Rattus norvegicus: one gene and its partner. The protein of the gene in region 1 interacts with the protein of each later gene in a pairwise test. Links are inferred from orthologs where the notes say so. Each region holds a gene or a part of one and is shown on either strand. Other genes may lie near its edges.

Region 1 (4,334 bases):
TGAGTAAAGAGGGAGGTCAGGTTCCATCCTGTTTTTAAAAAAGTTCTCCAAGGGCTGGAGAGATGGCTCAGCGGTTAAGAGCCCTGACTGCTTCCAGAGGTCCTGAGTTCAATTCCCAGCAACCCCATGGTGGCTCACAACCATCTGTAATGAGATCTGATGCCCTCTTCTGGTGTGTCTGAAGACAGCTACAGTGTACTTACATATAATAAATAAATCTTAAAAGAAAAAAGTTCTCCAAGACGAGCATCAAAACTTACAGCATTTCTTTCCTCTGGTTCTTTCTCGGCTTCAGTCCTGGGAGACTAGCTGTGGCACTCCGGTTTGTTGAGATCCTTCTGGGATACTTAACTTTGGTCTAAAATAATGAAAAAAAATCACAGTAGGCCCTACCCTGCTTTCACAGTGTCCCTGAGAGATCCAAACTCTGCTGCCTTTACGCTAGAGTAAGATCAAGAGTTTGCAAAGGCTGTGGGCTTCCTGAATGAATTCTGATACAGGATGTCTCTCTCTCTCTTTTTTTCTTGTACCGGATTTAAATTAGCTACAATGATGCTGGGACTACAGGCTACATTCATTGCGCTAAGAAACCTGGCTCTTGCTTATCTGTCAAATCCTAGGCATCTGATCATCTTGGACCTCACAGGCAACCTTTAAGACACTACCATGAATAGGTGGAAGCTGCCCATGAATGCCAGGAAGAGCGCCGGTCCTCGCACAATTTGGGATTCTTTTAACTCACAGTCGCGTCTTCCTCCTGCTCCCGTAGGGGAGTTGCCTCTCAGCCCCCGCAGCCCCTCCCCCGCCGCTCCGCTCAGCCTCCCCTCCTCCCAGCTCCTCTCTGTCTCCCCCTCTCGGACAGCGTCCCGGTTCGGCCCGGCCCTCCCCGGCGCCTGTTTGTGAATGAGATGCTCAGTTTCTCAATGGAGCCGCGGGGGGCTCGGGCGGACTCGGCGCAGGCCGCAGCGCTGGCCCTGAGCCGGGAGGGGGACGCCTTTTCCTCGCTCGCTCGCGCCCGCCCTCCCTGTCGCCGCCTCGGCTTTTGAGGAACTGGGCCGCGAGGCCACCGAGCAGGTCGCAGGGCCCGCATCCCCGAGGACGCCCGGGCTGGGCGGTCTCGAGGCGCCGGCGAGCTCTGCCCCGGAGTGAAGCGGCTCGGAAGGCCGACGGCCTCACGCCAGGCGCCTTCGCGGTGGGCTGTAAAAGTTGTGGATTCCTTAAAAAAAAAGAAAAAAGCAAACAGACCGGGAGCTGCTGTTAGTTTCTCGCCCGCACTTTCTCCTCCTCAGGAGAGGAGGGGTGCTGTGAGGAAAGGAGTGAAGCAAATAGGCATTTCCTCTCCGCGGGAAGCGACAGCCGGTTCTCCGCGGCCAGCAGGAGCGGCGTTGGCAGCCGCCGCGGGCGCCGGGCGCTCGCACCATGCGCGAGCCGGCCGAGAGCTACTGAGGCGCCGGGCCGCAGAAGCGGAGCGCGAGTGTAGCGGGCTTGGGCGCTCGCCCACCAGACCTGCCTCGGCGGCGGCGGGATGGAGCCGGCGACCGCGCCCCGGCCGGACATGGCGCCGGAGCTGACCCCCGAGGAGGAGCAGGTAAGCGCCGCCGCAGCGGTGGGTGTGTCCGAGTCTCCGAGGCCTAGGCCGGCCTCTGTTAGCCCCGCTGTTCCCCTCGCTCCTGGCCCTCAGCGCTCTTGCTCACATTTCAGGCCTGCGGGCTGGCCTCCCCGGGCCGGAGACCGCGCCCCAGGCCGTCGCCCGCCCATCCCGGCAGCCGTGGGACCCCTGGCTTGGAGCTTCTTTGCCTGGAGACTTCCGGGGGTGGGGGGAGGGCTCCGTGCCGCTCCATTTCAATGAATATTAAAGTTCCTCGAACTGGGTTAGGCTCCCCACTGGATAATTGCAGGACAGCTTGCCCCAGGCCCTTCTACTCTTAGGACGCTTTTGCATTTTCTTTTCCTTGAGGGTCAGTTGTTTTCAAGGGCAAGGAAAGCCAATTGGGGGAGGATTCTTAGGTGGTTGTCTCCGTTCTCAAGCAGAGGGGAGGTAACGCTGGTAAAATAGGTGCCCCACATTCTCAAAGGAGCCCTTCAGGCTTTCAGACTGCTGTGACGGGCCTACTTGGACAGATCCTGAAAGATCTGTCCCCCTTTTAGCTCCGTAAGTCCCTGGCCTTGACCTCCCTATTTTGAATTCCCAGGCTAAGCTCTTCCCCTTGTCCCCATTTCCCTGCCCCCACCTCATCTGACAATCTCCATCTTTCTGAAGCCCACATTGGAGTTCCATTGTCCCTTTTTAAAGCTCGTGACCTTAAATTCCCCAAAAGGAGTAGCTTGCGTTATCATTTGAGGGGTTTCAGTAAAGGAGAAGCCTAGCACTCTTGTAACTTTCCACCCCCATATTCCAGCTGTGGAAACACGGACTAGATGAGATTAAGAACCCTACGGGTTGGGCTCTTGCTCTCCTTGGCACTGCTCTTATCCAAACGTAGGTTGTGCTTAAATATGGCCATAATCTGGTTGTACCTTAAAAAGATAAAATAAATGAAAGAGGAAAAGGTGAGGCGTGTTGGTAATAACCCATTTCACACTCTCTTGCCTTTGTTCAGAGGCCTACATTTGCTAGCGCAATCGGTTGGGAAGACAGTCTATTTTGACAAACTAACATTCGTTTAATTTTTTTTAAAGACCCTTTTTTATGGTTTATTTTTATTTTATTTGCATTGGTGTTTTTGCCTGCATATATGTCTGTGTGAGGGTGTCAAGTCACTTGGAACTGGATTATGGATAGCAGTGAGCTGCCATGTCAGTGCTCAGAATTGAACCCAGGTCCTCTGAAAGAGTAGCCAGTGCTCTCTCCAGCCCCAAGACCTGATTTTTAAAAAAGTCCTTGACTTTTCTTTTGTGGAAATGGAAATGGTGTTTTTGTTTGTTTGTGTTTGGCTCTAGATTATACTCTTATTAATTTTAGATAAACTCAGAATGGGTAAAAAATTTTAAAAGTACCATTTAAAAAATAATTACAAATAGTGGTAATATCTTGGGAACTGCAACAGGGTGTTTTCAAAATTCTAGTGAGACAGTGCAAGCAGGTAGCCAAGGAGCTCTGCCAGGACTGGGAAATGCCTCAGAACTAATATGTTAGATCGATTTTTCATTTTTTTAAATTTTTTGAGTTTAGCTAGACCAAGCTGGCCTCGAACTTACAAAGATCCGCCTGCCTCTGTCTCCTGAGTGCTGGGACTAGAAGTGTGTGCCGCTGACACCACTGCCATCACACCACAGGTTGATTTATTTTTACTTATTTATTGCTCATCAAGTGACTTCTTTTTAGCACATTATTTCCTTTCATTCCATTCCTCAAATGGTCTTAAGATGAGTATTTTTCTATTGCACAGTACATATACCACTTTATATTAAGTGGTGTACGTGTCAATTGCACAGTATATATACCACTTTATAGTGCCCCCTCTTCTCTTCAGTTCTGAGGATTGAATCCAGGACCAAATTGCCAGTGTTCAGAGCAATTTTTATTTACATTTTCTTTCACCTACGCGATTACAGGCTCATCGAGAGTGGGGCCTTGTCCTTCGTCTTTATAACACCTGCAAGTACATAATAATGAGGGCTAAAAATACTGTGTAGTGGGCTTGAGAGATGGCCCAGTGGTTAAGAGCACTGTCTGCTCTTCTAGAGGTCCTGAGTTCAAATCCCAGAAACCACATGGTGGCTCACAACCATCTGTAATGGGATCTGATGCCCTCTTCTGGTGTGTCTGAAGACAGCTACAGTGTACTCACATATATAGAATAAATTAAATTAAAAAATATTATGTAGTCACACAGGATATTCAGGAAAGGCTGAAAATTTAATATCCTTTTTGATATTTTCTTGCCATTCTTGATTTTAGAAAAAGAAAAAGATCTTTTTTTTTTTTTTTTTTTTAACAGTAAAAGCATTGTTTATCTTTAGGAAACCCAGAGACAGCCATTTTTTTTTTCATTTTATTCTTTAATGATCTTAATTGGCTTTATTATTGATTTTAGAATCAGACAAGTCATAAAATAAAGCAAATGTCCCTCTGAGGCGAGAAGAGTTTGGTTTGGTATTAAAGTGGAAGAAAGAAGAACCAAGAGCTAACAGTGGGTTGATCTTGTCAAGTTAACTGGTTTTTGTTTTTTGGTTTTAGTGTTTTGAGACAAGCTCTCACTCTGTCTTCCTATTAGATTTTGAAGTTATTATTAGATTTGTTTTAAAGGGACTTTTTCTGTCTTATTTCCCCATGAGGTCCATTGGATTTGAAGTGTCAAGGCCTCACCAAGGTGTTGTGTGCACAAACCCCT
Region 2 (3,566 bases), on another chromosome or scaffold:
CAGTGGCAGGTAAGCCAGCCTTATCAACACAGTGAGCTCTAGGCCAGCTAGGGAGATACACTGAGACCTTGTCCCAACAAAACAAACAAAAACACTCCCCAGATGTTGGGACTAATATGATTTAACAAAAATTTTTTTTTATAAATTCACAGAAATGATACAGAGAGGGACCATTATTAAGATATCTGAGCTTGTAAAATGTATTCACTCAGTCAACACTACTGGCTCATTAAGATTAATTTACAATATAATTCTAAGGGCACATCTGACTTAAGTTATCCCTTCTATTTCTATCAACAGAAAGTACAAGCCCTAGCAGGGAGCTAGTGGCTACTCTAGAGAGGTCACAGCAGCTCTTTCTCTGAGACAAAGGAGTTTTAAAAGCTAAAGCTCAAATACAATTTTTTATGGGCAAAAAATTTCAACAGCACAAACATGAGGAAGCATTTGTTAAAGTCAGAGTTCAACCAGAAAGGCATTAAAATTTGCCTCCAGATTAGGACTGGCTCAGTAGTTAAGATCACCGGTTTCTCTTCCATAAGATCAGAGTTCAACTCCCAGCAACCACAGGGAAGCTCATAACCTGTACTCCAGGGATCAGATGCACTCTTGGCCTGCAATAGCACCACACATATCTTGTACAGACACACATACAGGCAAAACAGCCATATACATAAATAATATTTAAAGGTTAAAAATAACTGCTCCCCTGTCCCAGGAAAACTACACTAGAGCAAAAGAAAATCAGAAATAAAACCTGGAACAAACAGAATAAACTCCTGGTTTCTAGCTGTTACTACATAGGGCTGAAACATGGACATAGTGGCTGACTGAGGGCTGCCTTGGGCAAGCTAGTCTGTGCCTATTCTGGATTTAGAGCTCTCTTTAGTCTTAAGTCTGAGCCTGTAGTGAGTAACAAGTTCTCAGATACTAACCTGATTACTTCTCAGGGTGACTGCAAGGTATTTAGTGAATGCTTCTGCCATCAATCAGCTATAAGGGATAGGCTAGAACTTCAGACATGTGTAATCTCAGCAAACTTACTTGAATGGATGTCCTTCTTCTGACTTCTGCACAGCTTGGATGACAGACTTGTAGACTCTGAAGCTGATGGTGACAGAGAGTAGAGCCAGGATGAGGTAAGAGACCACACTGATAACACTGAAAGCTGCCAGAGAGAGCAGCATGATCAGCGTGGTGCCAAAGACAAACCCAGTCTTCTTCACATCTCGCCAGAAAATCAGATCATGCACTGCCAAGAGAGAGGGAACAGAAGTTAGAGAACCCAGGACCACCCTGCTTGTGCTATGTTTTACTGACTGGGCCATCTATCTCCCTAGTATCCTGGCACCTCTTTCTTTTTGGTTTTGTTATTATGGGTTATTTTTTATAGCCCAACCTTGCACTCTACTCCTGATCTCCTATGAATTGGGATTGTAGGCCTGTGACACATATCTACTGATTTTTTTCTTAAGACAGGGTCTTGCTCAATTGCCCAGTCTGGCCTTATAAAAATGGACAAGGCCTCTAGAGTTGGAAAGATGAAACTCTGAGTCTTGGTCATTTCTACCTGTGCTACTTTTCACCTTTCTAAGTCATTCTCCATTGTAAAGTGAAGAAAATGGCACCGTCCCCCTAAAGCTGTTTCAGGTCCAACGCAGGCAGACTACATTATTACCTACATGCAACAAACTTATGTGACTTAATAGGAAGGAGAGGTTTCAAGATTCCTGATGGGAAACTGAGTTTCAGGTAGAGGTTTTGCAAATCAGGGAGAAAACTGGGTACCATTCAGGTGCACAGGACTGAACTGAGACTATACAGGAAAACTGAACAGCAGGAGACTTACGCAAGAGGGCTGGCACTAAGCAGGGTAATTCCTACAGTCAGAGTTCAGGCACATACTATGCCAGAGTTCATGTGCCTATAAGTGTAGTTTCAATATAGAACGCAGAGAGGTTTCATGTCACCAACTAATCAAACAAACTGATGATACATGTCCCTGGATATGACAATACTGCTTCTATGGAATTCTAGCCCTAAATATGTACCTTTTTAGAAAGAGAAAATAACTTGACAAATTCAACTGGAGAAATATCCTACAGAAAGCCAATCTATATTATTAAAAACTACCAGTGTAAACAATAGGGGGCTGGAGAGATGGCTCAGCAGTTCCAGCTGATTTTAGTTCCCAGCATCCACAGATTGGCTCACAACTGTCTGTGACTCCAGTTCCAGGGGAGTAACAGACCTCTTTTGGCCTCCAGGGGCACCAGGCACACACATGGTTTATACATACATACATACAGATAGCTAAACACTTATATAAATAAAATTAATAAATCTAAAAGTTTTTACAAAGAAAGGAAATAGATTTCTATACTTGCACAAGTTGAAAAACGCCATGTATCCTCACGGACTTTACCGCCACCTGCTGGAAAGTTGTTATTCAATCACATGTGACTAGTGCCCCTAGAGCACTGCAGAACATGAACTGCCTAACTGTACAGAAAGGCCCTAGGCCAGAAAAAGGGTATTAGGGAATGGCAGATAAAGAGCAACTGTCCTATACCTCCAACCTCACAGCTTGTCCTTGCTTCACTCAGGCCTTGGCCTGCCCTATTTCCTGCCCACACTCTGTATTCCACCACTTTGTATGACCTTACAGCTTTGTCTCTTCTAGGAGCTCGTACCACCACCTTGTTTATAACAGGCTCTTCAAATCTGTGACAGGCCAACCTCATAACCCAGAGCCAGTGTGAGAACAACTTCCCTTCATTTCCTGATACTGCTCCTCAACATATAGAGATTTGCCAAGCATATTCAGTTACAAAACACCTAAAAAAAAAAAGAGGGGGGGTGGTGTGGCAAAACATTTGGAAACTTTTACCTTTCTGATTCTCTGGTAGAGTTAGAGGAGAAAAATGTGATAAACAGGGCGGCTATTGAAGTTTAATGTGAAGCCATTAGAATGGGTGTTCAAACTAGTAAGAAGGCAGAGTTTTGTCTCCATAATTCTTTTTTTTGGGGGGTGGGGGGCACTGCCATTACTGCTTTTAAAACAGCAAATTGGCTAGGTGTGGTGGTATACAGCTGCAATCCCAGACCCTGAGGGTTGGAGGCAGGAGGGCCAGCAGTTCAAGGCTATCTCCACTTTCTGAGCCAGCTGTGATTAGATGTGCATGCCAAATTGCCTGGGATATGTGGTGCCAGGAAGAGCTATGTTCACCTTTCCACTTTTTTCACTTTTTAATTTTGAGGTTGGTCTTGGGCTTCTGACCACCCTGCTAACACAGCTTCTTGAAGAGATGTGATCACAAAACTTGTGTTACTTGGGATATCTCTTTCAATGAATGGAAGGGAAACAAGAAGGGCTAATAGAGTATGAATCTGATCAAACTATATTACATACATGTGTAAAATGTCACAACAGAATTCACCATTTGCCCAATCTTTCAGCTGATAATGTACAGATTCTGAAGTTTGGGTTTACAACCTAGGCCACTGGCAGTGGGGTGACTGGGACAGGATACAGAGCTGGATTCTCACTATGGGATGTAGTAAGG

Evidence for each region. The genes of interacting proteins can lie anywhere in the genome.
Region 2: the proteins of Ptpn9 (region 1) and Rtn3 interact in binary tests that used the Homo sapiens proteins (3 or more experiments, as listed by UniProt). The two-hybrid records come from large-scale screens. The link is inferred for Rattus norvegicus from reciprocal best matches to the Homo sapiens genes PTPN9 and RTN3.

Annotation. Positions count from the first base shown.
Region 1 is NC_086026.1:66,286,420-66,290,753, forward strand, and holds the start of Ptpn9 (tyrosine-protein phosphatase non-receptor type 9), read left to right. Parts: upstream 1-1,503; 5' UTR 1,504-1,525; coding exon 1,526-1,588; intron 1,589-1,694; exon of another isoform or gene 1,695-4,334. UniProt on the Homo sapiens protein: Protein-tyrosine phosphatase that could participate in the transfer of hydrophobic ligands or in functions of the Golgi apparatus.
Region 2 is NC_086019.1:214,049,820-214,053,385, forward strand, and holds part of Rtn3 (reticulon-3), read right to left. Parts: intron 1,253-3,566; coding exon 1,045-1,252; intron 1-1,044. UniProt on the Homo sapiens protein: May be involved in membrane trafficking in the early secretory pathway. Inhibits BACE1 activity and amyloid precursor protein processing. May induce caspase-8 cascade and apoptosis.